Caenorhabditis elegans: one gene and its partner. The protein of the gene in region 2 purifies or fractionates together with the protein of the main gene of each other region. This does not show direct contact. Each region holds a gene or a part of one and is shown on either strand. Other genes may lie near its edges.

What was found. The genes of interacting proteins can lie anywhere in the genome.
Region 1: the proteins of Y45F10C.1 (region 2) and poml-1 fractionate together in Caenorhabditis elegans (co-fractionation; one large-scale study listed by BioGRID). This does not show direct contact.

The regions. Positions count from the first base shown.
Region 1 is NC_003284.9:13,718,597-13,724,817, forward strand, and holds poml-1 (PON (paraoxonase) and MEC-6 Like), read right to left. Parts: upstream 4,326-6,221; 5' UTR 4,322-4,325; coding exon 4,239-4,321; intron 3,575-4,238; coding exon 3,451-3,574; intron 2,798-3,450; coding exon 2,651-2,797; intron 2,529-2,650; coding exon 2,416-2,528; intron 2,264-2,415; coding exon 2,171-2,263; intron 1,837-2,170; coding exon 1,729-1,836; intron 1,678-1,728; coding exon 1,504-1,677; intron 1,452-1,503; coding exon 1,365-1,451; intron 756-1,364; exon of another isoform or gene 732-755; coding exon 611-731; 3' UTR 550-610; downstream 1-549. Other genes in the region: shc-3 (SH2 domain-containing protein), read left to right, coding at 22-189, 233-345, 393-549; K11E4.6 (G_PROTEIN_RECEP_F1_2 domain-containing protein), read left to right, coding at 6,068-6,221.
Region 2 is NC_003282.8:13,655,787-13,661,388, forward strand, and holds Y45F10C.1 (SPK domain-containing protein), read right to left. Parts: upstream 3,764-5,602; 5' UTR 3,762-3,763; coding exon 3,613-3,761; intron 3,570-3,612; coding exon 3,456-3,569; intron 3,410-3,455; coding exon 3,161-3,409; intron 3,113-3,160; coding exon 2,999-3,112; intron 2,128-2,998; coding exon 1,870-2,127; intron 1,827-1,869; coding exon 1,713-1,826; intron 1,665-1,712; coding exon 1,007-1,664; intron 958-1,006; coding exon 745-957; intron 696-744; coding exon 627-695; 3' UTR 542-626; downstream 1-541.

The DNA.
Region 1 (6,221 bases), on a different chromosome or scaffold from region 2:
ATGCAAAAATTCACATTTCAGGATGGACGTCATTATTTGGGCATTGTGATGAAAATTGGAAGAACTGAGAAACGAGAGTGCAACGTTTTCATGTTGGATAACGACATCGCCCTGAATGACCTTACAACAAAATTGCGAAGTGTCGATGAACGAAGACATAATAATGCGCTACAGTTGGAAACTCGCCTGGTTATTTTAAATAACATTCTTTCGCAAAATTATAATTATTCAGAGGTCGACACAAGAATACAGGTACACACCGAACATGCTTGCATGCTACCATGGTCCGCTGTCACACGAAGACGCCTGTAGGCAACTAGTTCTACCGGGAGAATTCATCATAAGGTATGTTTCGTTACTTCTATAAAAAAAACAAATTTTGCATTTTATAGGGATAGTTCAATGCGTGGAGAGTTTGCCGTTTCCTATAAAACTAGTCATGGACCTCACGACAAATCAATTGTGCCCAACAATAACATCGACTTTTTCCGACGATTTCAAGTCGATCAGAGTGTTTTGAAACATCCAGTTGTGAGACGTCAAGAGTGAAACCTAATACATTTTTATAATTTCAAATTTTTGTAACGACTACAATGCAAATAAAACTAGTTTATAAATGGCAATTGAGAATTTTAGTTCCATCGGAAATAAGAAGACTCCTTCCCGCTCGGACTGTCACATTTGCGTTGGAAATAGTGGCACCATCGTTAGAGTATAATTGTGTGATTGTTCTGAATAATAAAAAATATAAGATGTCGATTCATTTTATTTTTCGAGTTTTTATCCGAAAATAATTAACATTTGATGCATGCAAATGCATCCATTGTTAGCCGTAGAACTTTTTCAAATCAAAAGGACTGCTTCTTTCTGTTTTGTCAATTTTTCGAACATTCAAATTTGGTAACTGGTGAATTCTCCCCGTTTCCACAATATTTTTGCACAAAAAAGTGCCAGACAAATATGACACATAAATTTCTTTTTTTTTTACATTACAAGTCAAAATTTTGATGCGTTGAATTTTATTTCAGTCTATAAATTATGTCTTGTGTTCATAATTCAGAACGCAATTTATATGTTTTTTTCTTTACGCGCTGATGGGGGCGTTTTAAGTTTCAAGTGGTTCAGCTCCTTTGTCACAATATTTTCGTACAAACATGTAAAAGTATTTTCATTTTCATTATTCTTCAAATGTGTTCAATTTACTATCAATTAGACGCGCTGATTAAGACGTTTGGAATTTGTGATAGAACATTTGTTTGATGTGTAAATATGAGCCTTAACTTATCAGTTTTTAAAAACGAAATTGATTTCATCAATACATATTCAATATTTTGAAATTGTTTTTTTCAAGGAAAACAACTCACAGAGGTTTATCTTTGTCCGTGGGTACAGCAACTCGAAGTATCAAAGATGGTGAAGATGTTATGACATTAAATAGACTGAGTAAATACCTGAAAACTATCGACTTGACATTTTTCATTTCAAACAAAAACTTTAACCTACCGAAATTTAACTGGATGGCAGGTAATCAAAAATGAGCCATCAAAATCTTTCCAAATTGAGCTCGGCGAGCAGCCTAGATCGTACTCCTTCGAACTAACTATTTCAATTCCATTTTTGACTTGCACCTTCATTCGATAAATAGAGTTTCTGGTGGATGACGTAACAAAAATTGATCTACAAATTAAAAAAAAAAACAAATATTCAAAAACACATTTTAAAACCCACTTTTTTACAGAATCATAAACGATGCCAGTTGGGAAAGAAACTCGGGATATTTGTTGTATATTATTTCCACTCACAAAATAAATGTAACCGGTTGGAATCGGTACAACTCTGAAAAATTTTGAATACCGAAAATTGATTGTAAAGCCAGATTTACTTTACAAAAATTTGGTTAAAACAGAAGCATGAGTTTTTAGACTTAATTATTACAATAAAAACAAAAATTTTAAGAAAATTGCTTTTTCTTGTGGGATTTGGGATTTTTGCTTGAGACAGTGATTTAAAAAATACCCAAAAAAGAAATAACGTGAAATTTCCGATAAGTGCAATGAATTATTTTTACAAAGTGTTTGCATACAAGCGAAAAAAAACAGTCAACCCTTGATGATAATGCAGAAATCTACCAAACTCTACTGTCCTGTTTCAATAAAAAAAAAAACTGCACCGTTCAATGATATTTAATGCAAAGTTGGTTCCAAATATACTGGATTTAACAAAAAAGAACGAATTTAGACCAGCAGCCGATATATCAGTGAGTCTGAAATAAAAATGTGGAATGAAACTCGATTACGTAGAAAACTTGCTTAAGAAGCAAGTTTCAAAAAAGTTCAACATTTAAATCTAATCAAAAACTTAGAGTTTCTCTCTTCAAAACATGAACCAACTGAAAAATAAGAAAAATAATCCTACCCTTCAAATTGCTCATCTTTGAATGTTTTTCGGTATTGCCACGCATCATTCTGTTCGTTTGTCTCAAAAACATCGATATTGTTGGTCCTTTTATTGTGCACAAAAACATTTGGCTGAAATTTAAAAAAACGCTCTGGCATTAAACATCTCCCGCCCAACACCAATACCCCAAAGCCATGTTAATTATTGGAATGCATGTGGCGCTGGAGACAAGTAAAACTCATCAATTACTTACATTACTTGTCTCACTGTTGATACTTAATGCTCCTGGTGTCAGACGCCATTTTGGTGGTCCGCCGCGAATCTCTATTTCTCGAGCGGTACGATTGTCGGAGTAAAATGTGAAGAGATGTGTTTGGTCTGTATTGATGTCTTTCGAGTTCTATAAAAATATTCTGTTTCAAAGTTCTGTTCAAATTTATGTTCAAATTTCAAATCAAAATTTCTTACGACGCTTGCTTTCTCAGTTTCTCAACATTAAGTCGCTTTTGGAAAATTATGAATTGTGATGATATTTGGTTAGTCTGTCATAAGTGTGTTTTGGAGCAATATACCTATGTATTTGCTCTACAATATTCTGATAAGATAATCCAATTCCTTAACTTTTTATTGAGCAATAGAAGAAAAAGCTCTGTTTTTGTGAACTACTTCACATTTTCACCTGTTATCGCAATTAAGATTTCCCAGACATCAATTTCCGTATTTTTTGAAATGTACATATTGCTACTGTTCCTATGATTTCTATTGTAACTTTTTGAAAAAGGTTAAAACACATTCATTCACTCTATTCTCTGTCTCATCGTAAATCGGAATAAACATCAAGTATTTCTCTTTAACGTCATGACTACTTAGTAAAGTGCATTGCTTCATTTGAAATTTATCATGTTGCATAGCTTATTCAAAATTGCACGTCTAAGAATTTTTGCATTTTCATCGATAAATGTTAAAAGGTTTGTGATAACTTTCAGAACATCGCAAAAAAATGTTCCAAATCTGAACTTATATCAATAGTTGAGTACATATTAATCAACATACCGTAGTCATATACAGTCGTCCCGTGGTACTGGTAGTTAGTCCAAGAATTCCTGGCAAATTAGGAATAACGCCACATTCTCCAGGAACATGGTTGTAAGTCCTTTTGTTGATATCAATGTGTAATCTGAAACTGTTTCAGTCGTTTTGTTTAAAAAAAAACATAAATATTCTTCAAACTGTTTGTGTTCAGACTCTTCTCATTAATATTTGATTCCCTTACTTTTTCTCGTCTCTTGTCTAAAACGATACCCTAGAAAAATACATGTTTCTAACTGGTGTGTTAATGGAAGGGTTTATATTTACGAATTAGTTGCTCACAATTCTGACTGTCTTTTTACACATTTTTAGTTTATTATACAAAATCACTTTGAGTACTTATAATCGCGTGCTCAAGCACTTAGAATATTACAATTTTTCAAAAGAGATGGTGTACTTTTTTGGGATTTTTTTCCAACGATGACATTTTTTTTGTATTCGGAAACTTATGATCAGATTTTTTGCACTAGTATTTCCCTTTTGGTACATTATTAGATTATTTAAATAAAAAATTCAAGCAGTATTTTTCAAATTGTAGAAAGTCTATTACAATGCTGATTTTTGTTTTTCGTTTTTTTAAAATTTAATTGAGAACCTTTTTTGTGGTGTAAATTCTATGTTCCGTTTTTTATTGTTTTAACACCAGTTTTAGAAAAAAAGTGGGTTGGAGCATTTTTGTAACTGAACAAAATATTTTTCAATAGACTTATCATTATATTTTTAATTAAAAAATGTACCACTTTCCCACTTACAAAAGTTTCCCAAATAGAGTAGTGACTATAGCAAAACTTGTAAAAAATAAACAGTTACTAGCAAACGGGCTTAGCTGTAGCATGTTTCCAAGACAATATGAGCTTCTTTCCCACTTAACAAAGCTGTTTCTCCTCTCTTTGCATTTAAAATGTTTCCCTCGGTTCAAGCTGTCTATTCTATCGCATGGTGTCGTTATGCAACCCTCTATTGTGCATTAAGAAAGAGCTAGTTGGTAGTTGTTGCAAACATGATGAGCATAAAGAAAATTAATATCATAAGGCATTTATCGAATTAGTTTTTCATCTTGTTTCAAACCGGAAGCGATTTGGTATTTTGCTCCTCCTTGAGCTTCATGTATTTCAAGTTGTTAATTTTTGGTTTACAGTTTTTTTTTGTTGCAAATTTCAGATTCAATAAATAGAACATGATATTTTTCAAAAAAAATCCTCTCCGATTTGAATCAAAATACTGCGTGATCACGGCGCAAACTGCATTATTTTTATAGTTGTAGGAAACTTCAAGAAAAAAAATTTAGCTTGCAGTATAACTTTGTTTTATTTCTTTTAAAAAAATTAAAAGCGTTGATTTTACGCGTCAACTTCACAAATAGAAAAATTTGACTGATCAGTTTTGAAATTAAATTTAGAGCTTAGATAACGCAATCAGAAGGTGGGCGTGATGAAGTTTCTTATTTGTTGTTTTCTAAAAATTATTTTTCAGTTAAAAAATTTAAAGTATTTTTCCGGTTTTTCACACACGGAATCCAGTGAAGCATGTTCCTTCCAAGAATAAACGAGTATCCATTTTTTGCAAGTATTTTCAGATGAGTTTATTTCTGGGGAAGAAAAAATTGAGTTAAATTTTATTTGAAATAACAAAAAAAAAAGTTGATACATATTCTGATTTATAAGGTTTTTTTTGTCAATTTTCATTTATTTTTTGAAGGTAATCTACTTAACCGAAACAGTTTAATAATTTCGGTTTTTTGTGATTAAGTTACATAATGAAACTCACTTGAGCATTTTCTGCTCACATCATCCCGTCCAGACATTAATACCACCCACTTAATCTCAAGAGTGAGGTTATTCATACCTACGTCTTAAGTTTATTCGGTTTCGTAGACATGAAACGTTGATAAGGAAATTTGTCACGCAATGTCCAATGAACTTAATAATCTCTCAAAGAACTTTGAACTGAAATAATCGAGATGAAAAATTTGTTTAGGAGTTTTTTAGTTATATCGTTTTCCGAAAAGTGGTTAAGACTATTTCAAAATTGGTATTCAAGTATCAGTGGATCGTACTCAGTGTACATGAGTGATGATCAAGGATGTTGTAAATTTTTACTTTGTTTGTTGACAAATACTCATATAATCCAAATTTATTGATTTTTTAATTTACATGTTTTCATCGCCTTCTTATGCTCATTGCGTAACAATCGCTCTTTGAATATCTGATCTATAATAATAATGAGACATGCAAGTTTTACTGACATACAACAACTGAGTATATGTAGGTGTTTGCCCGAGAGAGTTCTGGAAACACGGAAAGAATATCGAATGTCTGATGTCCAGAATAGGAACCATATTTCCGTTACACGCCTTTTTGTTTCTTTCCTCGTAATCTCTGTAATCTTTATTCTTTTTATTCACTCATTCATTTGCAACTTAGAACCAAGAGAATTCAAAGTCAAATATTGCCGCCTACTCAAGTAGTTTACAAGTTATCGAATTTCAAACTCTCTTACCTGAATATTTTCACTTTACTCACTTTTTTTCGTTTCGTCATTTTCGAATATTTGAATTTTCCAAATTCCAGGACACTCAAAAATGAGCCATGCAAGTATGGTAATATCGGCATGCGCTTTTAATAGAAGTATTGCAACGCATATTTTGTACATCGTCCCCGAGATAATGTGTTCATTGTCTGGAATATTGTCAGTGGCAATAATAGTATATTCGTTCTTTCTATATGGGTTTAGAC
Region 2 (5,602 bases):
TGGATTTCATCGCAGTCGGTGCAATTCTCCTTTTTTGGAAGTTATTTGGGCTTTGGCTTTTGTGATAAGAATTCGGAGAACTACTTGATAACTGTGCTCACTGAGCAGAATAAATAATTTTATGCGGTTCTGTACAGGGTTGTCTATTTTTCGCCTACCGCGTGTCTGCCTGCCTACATCCTTCCTCATACTTGCTTCATACTTACATGTCTGGCTCATGTGTGTGCCTTCGTCTACTAGATGCCTACCTACGTGCCTTCCTACATTCTTACTGCATGACGTCATATGCAACTCGCTCATGTCTGCCTACTTTACTGCAACCTACATACCTACCTACTTACCTGCCTGCCTCATGTTGGATTATAAACCTGCATGGCGGTTACACATTACATTCGTGCCTATTTACTGCCAGCCAACGTGTCTGCCTACGTGCCTACTTTACGCCTACCTAATTTCTTTTCTGCATACAATATATCACGTACCAGGATACCTACATCCTCATGCCGACGCATAAGTATACTTCAAGCCTGCCTATAATTAATTCCAGTTAATTTTCATTCATTCAAACATGCAAATAGATCCTTAAAAAATAAAATAAGAAATCAGAGTTAAATATTTACATCGAATCAGGATGACACCACGAGGAACACCAGTAAATCTCGAACTTGTTGGTTAACATCACCGATCATGACATTCTGGAATAAGATTTGGATTTTATTGAGCAACATGTTTTATCAAGATTACTTGTTCAATGTCTCCGAGTTTCTCAATTTCTTCCTCGACTTTTTTCAGAAAACTGGCAAGCAACGGAACCTTCATCCACTTTAGAAAATGCGTCAAAGTTTTCAAAAAATCTTTTGCTGGTGTACTCCCATCTGCATCTTTCGTTTGGAACTTTCCAGTGATATTCTGCAACATCGACTCCATGGCATTGATGAATAGTTTCAACGGAATCATCTGAAGAAAAAGATAGAATTAAACTGAAAAGTTGATATTCCTCAACTACCTTATCCGCCGGTCCAACGCGAAGTTGTTCAATCTCATTTAGCAACTCATTTAAAAGTTCCGATTCAAGAGAAATGAGCATATTGTCCAACTTGTCAAGTACATTGAGCATCGAGATCTTCGGATATTCAGATCCTTCCACATCAGCTTCTTGTGCCTTGTTATTGTTGACTGCATCACACTGTACTTCGGACTCATCAACGATCTCTAATTTCGGCGCACTTTCGACAACAGTTGTAAAAGTCTTGAGCAAATCAATAATTTGTTGAGCCTTGTGCTTGTCAACATTCCCTTTTGTGTCATCAGAAATCTTAACCTTCGGAGCTCTATCGATAACAGTCGCAAAACTCTTCAGCACATCGTTGTACGATAAGCGCATCCGAGTGAATTCTTCGAAATTGAAGGAATCATCGAAGGATCCGGCAGTATCCATATGAGGAGTCTCCTGACGACTTGAACAACCTTCTCCGTCTCGCCTGCTCCTTTTACTGTAGTTTCCACTGGATCCTGTGTTGCCTGAGTTCGCTCCAGTCGCTCGAGTCTTCCATGCTCTTTTTCTTCCTTCATGTTGACCTTTGAGTTTCATTTTTCCATCGTTTGCGACATACTCAATGATTCGATTTTGATCATCCAATCGAACAATTCCCTGTTTTTCAACTCTGAAATTCAATTCCAGCCAATGAGGTTTAACTCGAAATTATGCTTACTCGGAAAGAAAATTCGCCTCCATCTTCCCACTCAACGCAAACATCATACGGATGCGCAAATCGATTGATAAGTTGTCCAAAAGAATCATATTCCGGGCCACAACTCCATGGAATCTAAATCAAAAACCTCGAAGACAATCAAGAAAATTCTTTTCACCTGCCCCTATAGGTGGTAACATCAAGTACACCATGCTCGAGAGCACGAAACTCTCCGAACACCCTCCGCTGATCAATTGGTTCGTTGGACTTTTCAGTCTTGTTCACAAGAAATTGGACAAATCGGACAAACTCGGGGCTTTCTATATCTACTGAGCAACGACCATGTCTTCCTTGCAATTTAAGCTGTTCATCAAATGATGTGAATTTCCAGATTCGCTTTTTGTCGTCGAGCTGAACGATACCAAGCTGTTCGATTCTGAAAAATTGTATTTTTATGGTAGTAACGTTATTCCACATAAATGCTCTCTTTAATGTGATATTATAGCGACACAGAAAGATGAGTATTTTGAAATCATAACGCGATCGCGCTCTACGGTCAAACGAGAACGTTCTGCCCATTTTTTTTTGGGTCTCGTTTAGTATATTATTACACTCAAAATAAAAAACTGCGTGGCGTGTACTGCAGAAAACCTCATACTTAGGCCCCGCCTTTTTCTCGTTCACTCACGGAGAAAAGGCAAAATTTTGGGCACCAACCAATATCAGGCCGCGGACATCCTACGGGCTCCGCGCGCCGCTATGTTTAACTCGCAGTGGGTGTGGCGAGCTGTCTCCGCCCGCTGCGAGTTGAACATAGCGGCGCGCGGAACCCGTAGGATGTCGGCGGCCTGATATTGGTTGGTCCCCAAATTTTTGCCTTTTCTCCGTGAGTGAACGAGAAAAAGGCGGGGCCTAAATATGAGGTTTTCTGCAGTACACGACACGCAGTTTTCTTATTTTGAGTGTATTTGGTGGCAAATCGTAAATTCGAGCAGTTTTAAAAATTATTATCGCCAATTTCTCTTTAGCATTTTTCGAATATGAATATTATCACGGAATTCTGGCTTCCCTCATAAATTGAAATGGAAGAGTTAGCTAAACTAGGCCATTTTGGCTTGGCCGTATCTGGGGTAGATTTACGGCGCGTTGCGTGTCGCGTCGCGGCTCGTTTTTAGTTGTAAAACTGATGTAATTGTCCGTGTGAAGAAAACATAAATAACATGACTATGTTCTTCTTTTGGACAAAAATATTCACTTGGAAAAGCTGATAAATCTTCATTTTTTGCATTTCCTGATTTTGTTCTCACCTTGTAAGAAACTCATTCTCTACTGATTGACTTAGAACGAACATCAGTCTCACACGAGCTCCTACACTATATGCGTTCCACAAATGAATCATCGGGGCAAGCTCATTGCGGAATCTGAACCGATAATTAAGAAACGACAAATAATAATAATACTCTGCTCACCTCTCAAAGTACATAGATGAATGTGTACTAGAATTTTCACGTTTCTTGAATTCTTCGAAAACTTGTGTGGCCGACATTGGTTTCACGAAGTCTTTTGTGTGCTGCATCAGGAATTCCATGAATTTCTTGCATTTCTCATCATTTAGTTGGCCATATTGATTATCTTCAAGGATAAGACTTTCATCGTTTGAAACGAATTTCTCAATTCGTCTGTTTTCATAGAGCTCGACGTTTCCCAAGGATTGCATTCTGTAAATTATTTGTTCTCACACTGAAAATGTCATTACAATCCCACCTTGCAAGGAATTCATCCGAAACTTTACCAGATAAAGCAAAAAGTAGTCGAATCCGGCTCTCGACACTGTATGTATCCATGTTACTTATTTGTGGACAAAGTTTTTGATGGAATCTAAAACATGAGTTTTAAAAATATCCAGACTAACAACTCCTACCGGGAAAGATAGGTCGAATAGTTGAGCCCAAAGCGCTCACTGAACTTTTTAAGAAGAGGGCATAACTTGATTCGCTCCGTAGCATGTTCTGTTGAATCAATAAGAAAATCCATTTGTCGCTTCAAGTCATCATTGAATATGAACTCCATTTAGTTTGAAATAAAAATATTTAGTAAGTTGAGGAAACCTCTTCCACGTGCTCGCCGTGCGACGGGAAAATTATATGTAAATATATTTTTTATTTTTTTAAATTAAAAATAAAAAAAAAAAAAAAAATTTTTAAATTAATTAAAACGTTTTCAACTTTTACCTAAATTTTTAGAAATCAAGTTTTCAGCATACCTTCTATTGTTTTCTATATGTAATAAAGTTATATTTGCATGCGTTCTTTAATCAGTTGTATACCAGCAATGAAAACTTGATAAAGTCTGGAAAACTTTATTAATGATGAACTTCTAAGAAACACTTCAAGCCTGAACGATTTTGTCAAACGATGGCCTGGAACACTTTTTATGAGTGTATAGAGGGATCCGACGGACATCGGACCATTTACTTTTCTCCTCCAATGCACCATGGAGCAGTTTATCATGGACAACGTTATAGAAACTCTCGTTACATCGTATTTCCCCTCAAACACCTCACCATTTCTGAGTAACGAGGATAGTGAATTGAATTTTATGTTTAAAAATATCAGGAAGATGATTTCGATAGACGATGGTTATGAGATTTTCGGTCCAGGTGCACTTCTGTTTCCGAATCCAACATGCTTAAAATTGAAGACTCAAATTGTATCCTTGGAGGGGATGCATAAACAAAATATATATGAACTTCAAAATTTGCGTGTATTTGAACAACAATTAATGGTGTGGGGTGAAGAAAAGAAAAAATTGAAAGAACAAATCGAACGGCTAGAAAAATTGCTTGCCAAAAAGAATCCGGACAGGGAAAGTTTTGAGCAGCACACCAATCATCTGCACGTATGAATGAGCAGATGACAAACGAGTTTCAGGAATTTGTAACTTGTTTGCATCAGTGTAGCAATGACGTTTGTATATATTCAACTATTTCAAAGTATTGTGAAACAGTAAAATATTTTAAAGATTGGTATGTTCTAATTTTGCGACACATGTTCCCAGGAGGCATCGAGAAAGGGGACATCGCGTTCAAAGACGGCATTGGGAAGAATTTTTGTAGGTTTCAAGTAAACATTATGAAATTGTCTATTTAATAAAAAAATATTACTCTAATATTCTTCTGATGACTTGGTGACGATTTTTGAGATCATAACCCTTATGAACTTTTTTGGACATTTTTTTTGTGGACTGATTATAAAGAACTGTTTAGTAATTGTAAAAAAATGCAAAATTTCCGATGTTATGGGCATTCTTGAGATTTTTTATTTCTAGATATAACTAGTACATTGTGGTCAACTTATGACGTTTATACCTCTACAAAAAAGTCAACAATAAACTTGTTGCTCATTATATTGCTAACAACTTTTAAGTTGGCAACTTCTCTTATATCACATACGGACAGAGTTAAAAGCTGTAGAAAGTATAACGTCTTTGTGTTCTTTTGAAAATTTCATTGATTTTTTGTTAGAGCATGAAAACTGAACACCCAAAATTGTGTGAAAACTATTTTCTGCAATATCTACAACTTTTTTCAAAAACTTTTTTTTTGGTAATTGAAGTGTTTTATATTGCAATTTTCTAATATTGATTTTAATTACAAGAAAAAACATAGGACTTGAAAAAATACATTTATTTTTAATTTTAGGACAACAAATTGAACTCTGCAAGATTAAACTGGAACTCGGTGTTGTGACTTGGGTCCTGTGGTGCCACTGCATCCCAACTTGGCAGATTTCTAGGTGATTGCCAACATGAGAAAAGGATTATCTCTGAAAATTGCAGTTTGAGTGTTTAAATGATGGAGGAAGAACACTATTCTAGGAGAAAATAGATGTAGCGAAAATTGAGCAACTTCA